Drosophila melanogaster: one gene and its partner. The protein of the gene in region 2 purifies or fractionates together with the protein of the main gene of each other region. This does not show direct contact. Each region holds a gene or a part of one and is shown on either strand. Other genes may lie near its edges. The genes, in order: pirk and mrj.

What was found.
Region 1: the proteins of mrj (region 2) and pirk purify together in Drosophila melanogaster (affinity purification with mass spectrometry, with the first as the bait; one large-scale study listed by BioGRID). This does not show direct contact.

Annotation. Positions count from the first base shown.
Region 1 is NT_033778.4:21,660,161-21,664,663, forward strand, and holds pirk (poor Imd response upon knock-in), read right to left. Parts: upstream 2,836-4,503; 5' UTR 2,528-2,835; intron 2,345-2,527; 5' UTR 1,758-2,344; coding exon 1,164-1,757; 3' UTR 807-1,163; downstream 1-806. Other genes in the region: CG42362 (uncharacterized protein), read left to right, coding at 4,354-4,503.
Region 2 is NT_033778.4:16,218,575-16,223,622, forward strand, and holds the start of mrj (mrj), read right to left. Parts: upstream 3,220-5,048; 5' UTR 3,096-3,219; exon of another isoform or gene 3,062-3,095; intron 2,576-3,061; 5' UTR 2,549-2,575; intron 1,550-2,548; exon of another isoform or gene 1,478-1,549; intron 1,136-1,477; exon of another isoform or gene 1,064-1,135; intron 872-1,063; exon of another isoform or gene 800-871; intron 1-799. Other genes in the region: CG7798 (uncharacterized protein), read right to left, coding at 3,607-4,053; CG15706 (uncharacterized protein), read right to left, coding at 4,723-5,048.

The DNA of each region.
Region 1 (4,503 bases), 5.4 Mb from region 2:
AACTTTAGCATTTGTAGATTTACAAGTATGCAACATGTGATGGTTAAAAAAAAAATATCTTTGTGCTCCTGCTTGCCTTTCTATTGAAGAATTTTATATTATATATAAATAAATTATAAGAAATGAAAATATACCATTATATATAAATCTATTATTGTCTTATATAAATATGTATAATTTTGCCGTTCGAATAGTGTGCTTTAATTAGCGACCTTCAAATTGTTGTTGATAACAATTTTCTTAATTAATTAATCCCAATCAAAAGTAAGAAATTATCTCAATCTTAATTGCACTCTGTATCTTTTCGAGTTTCCCACAGATTAATGAGGTTGATTGCACCCTGAGTTTGCATCTCTCGAAATTCTTTCCGGCCATTCGAGTAAACAGTGAGTGTGAGTGCAAAGGTGGCACTCGTATTTCGGTAATGAATTGTTGCTTTGTATACCAATGCCAACTGTCAACTCGAAAAAAAAAATCCCCGGGAATTGATATTCGGCACCTATAGAAAAGCAAAATATATTTAATTAATCAGTACCTGTATCGGCTAGCGTCGGGTGCTTTTTCCGGTAACAATGAAAATGGGTCAGTGTCCATTGCATCAGCATCTCGATGGTGGTGATTAATTGGTGGTTCTTAGAAGTTGTCAATGGTACGACTTGACCGCAGATAGTCGCGTACGCATTATGCTGAGGAAAGCACTTATCTGTGTAGTTTACCAAGCTCCGAAGAAAACGCAAGTTACGTTGTCTTTGGGGGACTTTTTGTTCTTTTAGCAAGAAATGCAAAGAAAAACGCAGCAAACATATATATTTAGACATATAGTTGTATTTTTTAATCAGATTATTCATTCTCGGAATGAAGTTTAGGCTTTGTTCACACTGCGCTTCTGCGTTACGACTAAACATATACATACAATACATATATTTCCCTAATCAGTGGGTGTGTTTTGTGAATAGTAATGGATTTTTAGACTAGCGACGTGGCGTTTAATACTTGACATTGCTGAATGTGCAGGGTGATGTTAATATTGGTAGCAGTCGAAAGACACATTAAGACTAAGTGACTATTTTGCAGTCAATAGGAACCTTTGCGTTCGGTGGCAAGAGTTTCGTTACATTAATCCTTAATCTTTGGCCAAAGATGACTTAGAGAGCTCAAGATTCTCAGATGCTCACGTTGATGGCATTCTTGATCACAATGTTCCCGGCTCCGTGCCGTATCGTTAGATTGCTGTCGATCTCAATGCCGCCGGACTTGCCTTGGCCAGCATCCGTTGGCGTTGGCTTGGCGTTTTTCGATCGAGAGCTGGGCCTTTTCTTGGCATCGCCGCTAAGATCCAGGGACTTGACCACCTTGAGCAGTCCATTGCAGCCCGTGTAGTCGACCACCTGCTGCGTGGAGCTGCTGCCCAGGTAGATCCTTCCGTCGTTACCCGTGTACTTGAGGGCTCCGCTATTGTTCTGGATCTTGAGTCTGGTGCTATTGCCGATTACTTGCAGTTGCCCGGAGTTGTTCACAATCCGTATGCGGTTGCCATTGCCGATGATCCTGAGATCGCGCGTGTTGTTCTCAATGCGGTACTCCTTGCAGTTGCCCACCAGATCCTTGCTGGCGTAGATGGTTGTCTCCGGCGGCGTGGAACTTTTCTTGCTCTTATTGGGGGATTTACCCTGCTCGTGCTCTTTCTGGCAAGTGGAGCACTCGTCATCGTCATACGAATCGCTCGCCGAATCGGTTTCTATCACACGAACGCCCATTTTGGTGTGAATTACCGCCGGTATCGTTTCTTTCCGCTGCTAATCACTCGTAAAAATCACCGTCCAGTCTGTCGGTTAGCTCATTCTCCAACTCTTTTTCCTATCTCTATCTCCGTCTCTGTCGCTGGGGGAAGACTCCGAATGATGAGCAATCCGGATGGCTAAGGTCAAAGATATCCAATTGTGTGTGTTGTTTTTGTATTCAATTCAGCGCTGGGGGATCGTCTGCTTCCGCCAGGGGAACTCCCTCTGTTTTCTGAACTTTTATTGTGCGTTGAGTTTGGCGATCTCTGGTATCGCTTTCGCCGTGCTTACTGCTCGCTCGCTCGCTGGCACTTTGGCTATTGAACGCTAATGCCGCTCGGGAACCGCTTTTATATCCGCCGGAGAGTCTAGCGCCGGGGCTTTTTTATTTCGCCCGAGGGCCGGCACGAAAATCACCTCGTATGCATGAGAGTCGCGAACTTAAAGGCATCTCGCCATCTGGGGAGACCTTTGATTGGGTCGCCGAATTTATTCGGCATGAGTAATGTCCACCTGTTGGTGCCCTCGCAATGGGCTCGTCCATCGACTTGAGCTAGCCAAATCTTCAGCATATAGTAATAAAGTTTAAATATATATTTAGTTAACAGCACCAGTAAATTCAAACATTATTACTGTATCTTATCGTTTTATAGTTTCTCCTAAAATGATGTGCTTATAGTCTTATCCCTAATAGTAATGGGTGTTATTCGGGTCTTGACCCATCAAAGTGGAATTTATTTACTTACGCATTGTAACTTTTCGCTGTGTAGACTGTTATCAACTTATGCAGTACAGACCCAACTTTGATGGGGATTTTTGTTAACTTCTCTTATCATTAATAAGTCCACTGATATAGTTGCTGATTTCCATTTTTGGGAGTCGTAAACGCGGAGTCAAAAACCCACCAACCCCAACCTAAAGGGGTAATAACCGACGATAACCGATGATAAAGTTTTAAGCACTAGAAATTGATAAATATTTACGCAGTTGCCAAGTGAGATCTGTGAAACGGAGGCAATGATTTCCTCTAGATGCTTCACGAGCCTGTTTGTTTACAAACAAAAAAATCTCACCCGTAATTTGCACAATCGACTTCATTGGCATTCGATTTAATTTACATATGTTTACTTATATATATATCCCGAAAGCTTCCGATTCTCGATCTTGTCATTTTCTGCGATCGTTCCAAGCTGAGTTGCCAGTTCAAGTGACCAGCTCAGTCGGTTGGGAAGCCTGGAGCTGAGCAAAGCCCGGCCAAGTCAAGCATACATATGTATCTAGATCGCCAGCTGAATAAACACGCTAGCATCTAAACAGTTGGCCCAATAATGTTTACTCGTGCGGGGAAAGCACCGCAGCTATGGGGCTACAAATGAAAGGGGTGTATTGCCGAGAAGGTCGTTTTTTATTATTTTCAAGGTGCATTCACTGTTGACAAATCAATTATCTATTGCGGAAAATTATAAAATGATTTATTTGCCAGATCGCTGTTTTGGGCCAGTAAACGGGGACTTTTTTTGCAGCTATCTCAAGTGTGCTCGCCAAGCAAAAGCAAAAGTTCAAGAAAAGCTATAATCGTATGAAGCCTTGTTCGGTGTGAAGGCGTTATAACGGCAAATCGTGTGTATTATCAGATATGACACGGCGCAGTTACAGCGCACACAAATGGAGAAATTGTGCGAGCCCAGGAAAAAACCCCCTCGATCACAACCCATAACCCATCAAAACTGTTACCACCTGCAGCCACTATCTAGCACGCGTCTAATACCGGTACTAAAGCCCCACCGACCAAAAAATCACCGATGCCAGATGTTTTATCTTTCATTAAGATCGAGGCGTTGCTTTGTTGTGTTTCATGTTCTGGATCGAAATAAGTGAACGTTATGTACTTGTTCTGACAGATACTTTAATACTTTTGATGGGGTGTTAAAAGCATTAATATTGCATATGTGTCAGATAACAAGATAATGCATTTATTATTAATGTCAAATATTTTAAATAGCCAATGCAGTTAAAAATCTAAATTATTTTTTATTTAAATTGTTTATAAAATGTATAAATTTAGAAATGTATAATCAGCTAATTGATTAAATTAGTATTGTAATGGTAGGTCCACTCCAAAATGAAATCGTTGCCATTCACACCGATTTTTAAACAAACAACGTTTATAAACAAAATCATGTCATCTCTAATAGTTCGTAAAGTAAATATATAAAATAGCAAATAGGTAAATGTGAAAATTTGTGATCTATTTAACATCTAAAATTTGAAGTCAAATTTTTAGGGACATAGAAACAGAGTCAAGCGACATTATATTAATTAATGTAGTCGTTATTTAAAAGAAATTAAATGAAGTAGATATATTTAGATTTTAAGTACACTCTTAAGAACCACCCTAACATATGTTACTAACCATTCACAGTTTGTTATAAACAAAAAGAACCCATCTCTATTGACGTGAGCTTTTATTGGTGCTTATTTCATAAGTAAGCAAATAAAAAGCGCTCCCATAACGAAATCATACTTTAGTGTACAACACCAACGCCAATCGGTAGTAGGAATATAAACAATTATGAATAACAACTCGAATGTTTTGACTATTGGCACTGAGAGCACTGGAGATTTCGAAAGCACAAAAACACGCAATGAGTATTCTGTGTCTGATTTTGAGAAGCACTTACAGAAAATTTTACTGAATGGCGGCAAGCCTTTGACAAATGTT
Region 2 (5,048 bases):
GCGTCTTTCGTTCTTGCTGTCGCTCAACTGATCAACTGGTTTAACAATAAAAACAAAGCTCAGGCGGCGTTGGCGTTGCTTGAACGTTCAACAGAAACGAAAAAGTTACCGTCTTTTTTGTTGCTTCTCTCATGCGCTGCCATCGATTGTCGGGGCTTGGCTTTCTTTGAGGGAAAAAATATACAAACTCACTTAGAAACTATAAAAAATGGCAATTTGTACGCTTTGCCTTTTTCTCCGCTTCTTGCTCAATCGTATGTCTCACACGCGCTTCTAATGTCTGGATACGATACATAAGCTCGTTCAAGATGATGGCATATAAAAAGCTACACGAGTTTTTCAATTGACTTGGAAAGTGGCAAGCGACTGCCAGCATGCATCAAATGGATCGAGCCCCAGCGAAAAGTGGGCGTGATGGGCAACAACAATGGCTCACTGTTTTTTGGCTCTCGGCTTTGCCACACTTTTGATGAATTAGCCGTTTTTTTTCCATCGAGTGTCGGGGCTTGGAAAATTGAGTTGCAGCTGCAGCTTATGATGGAAGTGGTTGGCAGGGAGCGAGGAAGTTCGTTGAGCCGGATCATACCCAGCTGAGACTCATTAAAACACCACTTGAACCACGATTCGTGTTACACCGCCTCTAAGTGCAGGTCAATAAGTGGAGTTGTTGTCTGATTTTCAAGTCCAAGCCAGTTTATGCCTTTGTGCGATGCTATGGGAGAGAAATGGCTGGAAGAGCTTGATTGATGGGGATTCTCAAGCAGGGTAATTGATTTACTTATAAATAAAATAAAAATACTTCCCATACCGGGAATCGAACCCGGGCCTTCTGGGTGAAAGCCAGATATCCTAGCCACTAGACCATATGGGATATGTTCTACTTTCTTCCAAGTTATATAAACGTTTTTGTAGTTTTTCCTTGTTAAAAATGGTGCACGTACTTTATAAGGAATTTTATGCCTTGTTCATTTTTAAATTTATAAATAGAAAATATACAGTGGTGACTTTAAAACATGTCCTAAGAGGCAGACTAAGGACACACTTTAGTCACCTTCCAGACAAGTCCCATATTGTCTAGTGGTTAGGATATCCGGCTCTCACCCGGAAGGCCCGGGTTCGATTCCCGGTATGGGAAACTTTTTTGCCTAATTTCGCTTTTTTTTTATTTGTTACCATCAGAGGGTTAATAATTTTGGGCTTTGTTAAAGGGGTTGACTGACCATTATACAGAGGTGGTCAAAAGTATTTCCACAACGAGCTTTTTTTTTCAATTAGTTGACAATGGTTATTAGTTGACAATTGAAAAAAAAAGCTCGTTGTTCAAATACTTTTGACCACCTCTGTATATGTTTTCATTCCATATCTTAATTTTCTTGTATTAATAGTTTTTCCTGGGTTAAGCAAAATAAACAAATAAACACAAGGCATTCATTCATGTTGGCGAACAAAACGAGTCTTTGCTACAACACAGATAGCCTCCCATATGGTCTAGTGGCTAGGATATCTGGCTTTCACCCAGAAGGCCCGGGTTCGATTCCCGGTATGGGAAGAGTACTTTTTTTTTACTGCTTAAAATAATTGATAATTGATTTTCCACATATATTGAGCAGTCTTCAAGTCTATTGCTTTCGGTAATTGTATGTATTTATGTTTGTTTTTGCTTTTCTAGTGTGCTTTATTTCTTTGCAATTGCCTAGCGCCACCAATTGATGCCAATCGGACACGCTACGAAATAATTCGAGACTTTTTTATGGCCGTTGCTTTTCGTTGCCCCAAGTTGTCAATTGTTGATGTTTGTGCTTATGTAGAAAGAAATAAGAGAAAAGAAAAAGGAGGGAAAACGGTTTTGTTAACGACGGGCAAAAGCTCAAAGAGCCAGAGTACTTAACTTTTGTTAAACCGAAAATTAGGCATGCCCAGAATTGCAACATGTACTGGAAGCAACAGCAACAACGACAATAGCCTGCCGCAAAACGTGTGGCAAGCGAATAGCAGCAACAATAAAACGGGCACAATGCCTTGACTGAGTTTTGAACGTTTTTTTTAGTTTCTTTTTTTTGTAGTAGATACGGAAAATTGCTTTTTCATTGTTGCAGTAACCAATTTTTGGCTGTTATTGTTGTTATTTACAAGCTGACTTGGCAAACGGAAAATCAATTTTTAATTGCAACAAATTTGAGAGAGCTGCGGGACAGGCAAATTGCGAGTTGGCCAAAAAAGGCAAATTAAAGTAAGCGTTAACGAAAAACAATTGGCATTTTGAGTCAGAAACGGGTTTAACGGTATCGCAGAGGCAGCTGCAGTATCTTTTGAGGAAACACGCCGCCACATGTCAAAGGGGGACAGCAACAATATGTCAAAATCTCGATGAGCAGAGCAATGAACCGTTGTAATTAGCATACGTCCGCGTGCGTGCGTGTAACAGAGAGCACAATAGAGGCACTTTCGATTATTGAACTTGTTAAATTCCGCATTTCTCTGTTTGCGCTCGGTGCTTAGATTGTTTATTATTTGGTATTACGCTTATTCTTTTGCTTTGGTTGCTTACCTGGAAATGATCTCTTTCCTTTGGTGCCTAACCGAAAAACAAGCGAACAATTAATTTCATTAGAAGTATCTAACAAATGCGAATCCAACATGAGATATAGTAAAACAAGAAATAAGTGTGAGCAAATAAGATAAGCAACGCCGCGTGGGGAAAGAGAGAGAGAGAGAGCTGTTGGTGAGAGCGAGAACGACGCGAGTTGTTGGCGGAAACTCCTGTCGCAGCAAGCAGCAGCAACAACAACTACAGAACGGCGACAATTACGGCGCTTTATTGATTTTTTACAAAACAACTATTCGAACACGAAGCGTGCCGTTTGCATTTGAAACTCGGTTTTCAGCTTATATCGAGATTATTTAATGCACAACAAAACGGAGCACAAAAGAATTTCGCACACCAGCACAAGTTTTAAGCACTCACACACACACACATACGAAGCGACTTCAATGTCAACTTCACTTTTTGTATTTTTATCTACTGCTTCGCTATTTTTGGTTTTCTTTAGCAGTATTTAGTACTTTGAATTTAGTATTTAACTGCACTTTATTACCCGTCAGTCTGCACGCATCCGTGCGCTCGTTGGTCGAGAAACAAATTATTCAACCGCCACTTTGCTTTTGGCCAAGCGCGCTTTTCCCACAGCTGTTTTACTTAAGCGATAAAACGCAGCGACAACTATCAGTCGCCTGGCTATCGATTTGACCCAGGGAGGGGAGCAACTAGCTCTGCCAATCGAACTGGTTCCGAGCCGAAATTCAAAAATGTCATCGGTAAGATAACGTGTTTAGCTACATCCCTTTGGACATGTTTTCTACATGTTGACTTACATTTTACATTATATTTAATTTTATTAGCTTGGCGGTTAGTTTTGAATATAAATTGAAGGTAAAAAGGTATAGACCAGTTTTTTCTATTCTTGTTTACCAGATGATATATCGCACCACAATTGTTCGCTCTTTTAATGCTCATACTCATAAAATATATTGCTCTTTAATATTATAATATTTTATTCTGCATTTAGGTTCTTAAGTTTCGTATTTTTTTTAGCTTTTTACCGATGCTCAACCCGAATTTCTGTGTCGCCGCCGGAAGCAGTGATTCACATTGGGCTTGACACCCTGACATCGATTGTTCCAAGCCACCCAGGCGGAGAATCCTTGCTGTTTCCTGATGTACTTCGCACAGGCAATGGAATACCGGATATCGTCGCTCAACAGCAGGCGGCAGGGCAAGCGACACAGATCGTTGGATGGACGACCATCCGCCGGCTTGCACCAGTAACGATCGTTGATCTGGAAGAGACCCCAGTCCACGGATCCATCAACGTTCGAGGGATTGATGGCTTTTGTGTTGAACGAGCTCTCGCCCTCCACGAGGCACAGCCAATCGGGTAGCTCGTTGTAAGCCATTCCGTATCGATACAGCTGCCGGGCCAAACTGCATCTGCCCACCTGGCGGCCAGTGGCCAGTGATAGCGTTAAGAGCACCAGCAGCCAAATGGGCCACATCTTCCAGAAACAATGCAGGCTTCTAATGGTAACTCGTGGCTTATATAGCCATCCAGTTTGCTGCGAGATTCGGAGCACAACTTGGCCCAATCTAATTTTTACAAGCACTCATTTGGACAGCTCTGAAGTGTGGCCCACACTCGAGCATAAATTATCAACACTAGGCGACAAAGATTGGAAGTCATAACCATCTCCAATTCTTTTATTTTGTTGGAGCTATTTCGGAAAGGCTATTGCTCTGAGAAATCAGTAGATATATGGTTATTTTAGGGTGTAGAACTAAAACTACAATTCTCTAACTTAACTTAAATCCCAAACATGCAGATGAGTGTCAGACTTTCAATTCTCGATCATTGAAACAGGCCGATCGGGCCAGTTTCGTTAATATATGGAGTGGGAATCGCTCGCCATTTAAGCGAGGCATCTGCCTGGCCCCAGATTCACTTTCAATGGGTTCTTTTGTGCGATGCTCAGGTATTATATAACCATGTTGACAGCTGGAGGGGCCGGAGCACTTGAGATCGCGTGTGCGCCAACAATCGAACAAAAACCCCGAGAGAGCAAAGTCATTCAACTTTTGGACAACTTGTCGTTCTTTCTTTGTTTTTGTTTAACGTAAAAAATTAGTACAAAAATATGCAATAAAAATGGCATGTGTTGATACTATGTTTATCCCAAACGAATCTCCTCCATTTCCTGAGCGGGCGGCTGCTTGATCTCCTGTTCCGTTGGCGGCACATATCCCTGTCTCGGCAGGAATTGCCTCTTCCTGGATGTGGGACGTATAACGATGTGTGCTACGCATGTGCAAATGGCGGCTATGGCAAAGTATTTGAAGCTCTCTCGTCCGCCCAGGCTTTTGAACATAAGTCCGCCGATTAGGGATCCGATGGAGAAGCCAAGTCCATCGTCCATGCCGGCCATCAATCCTTGAACGGTGGCCGATGTTCCCGGAGGAGCCACCGCCGAGGCGTAGGCCACAATGCACGTATAGC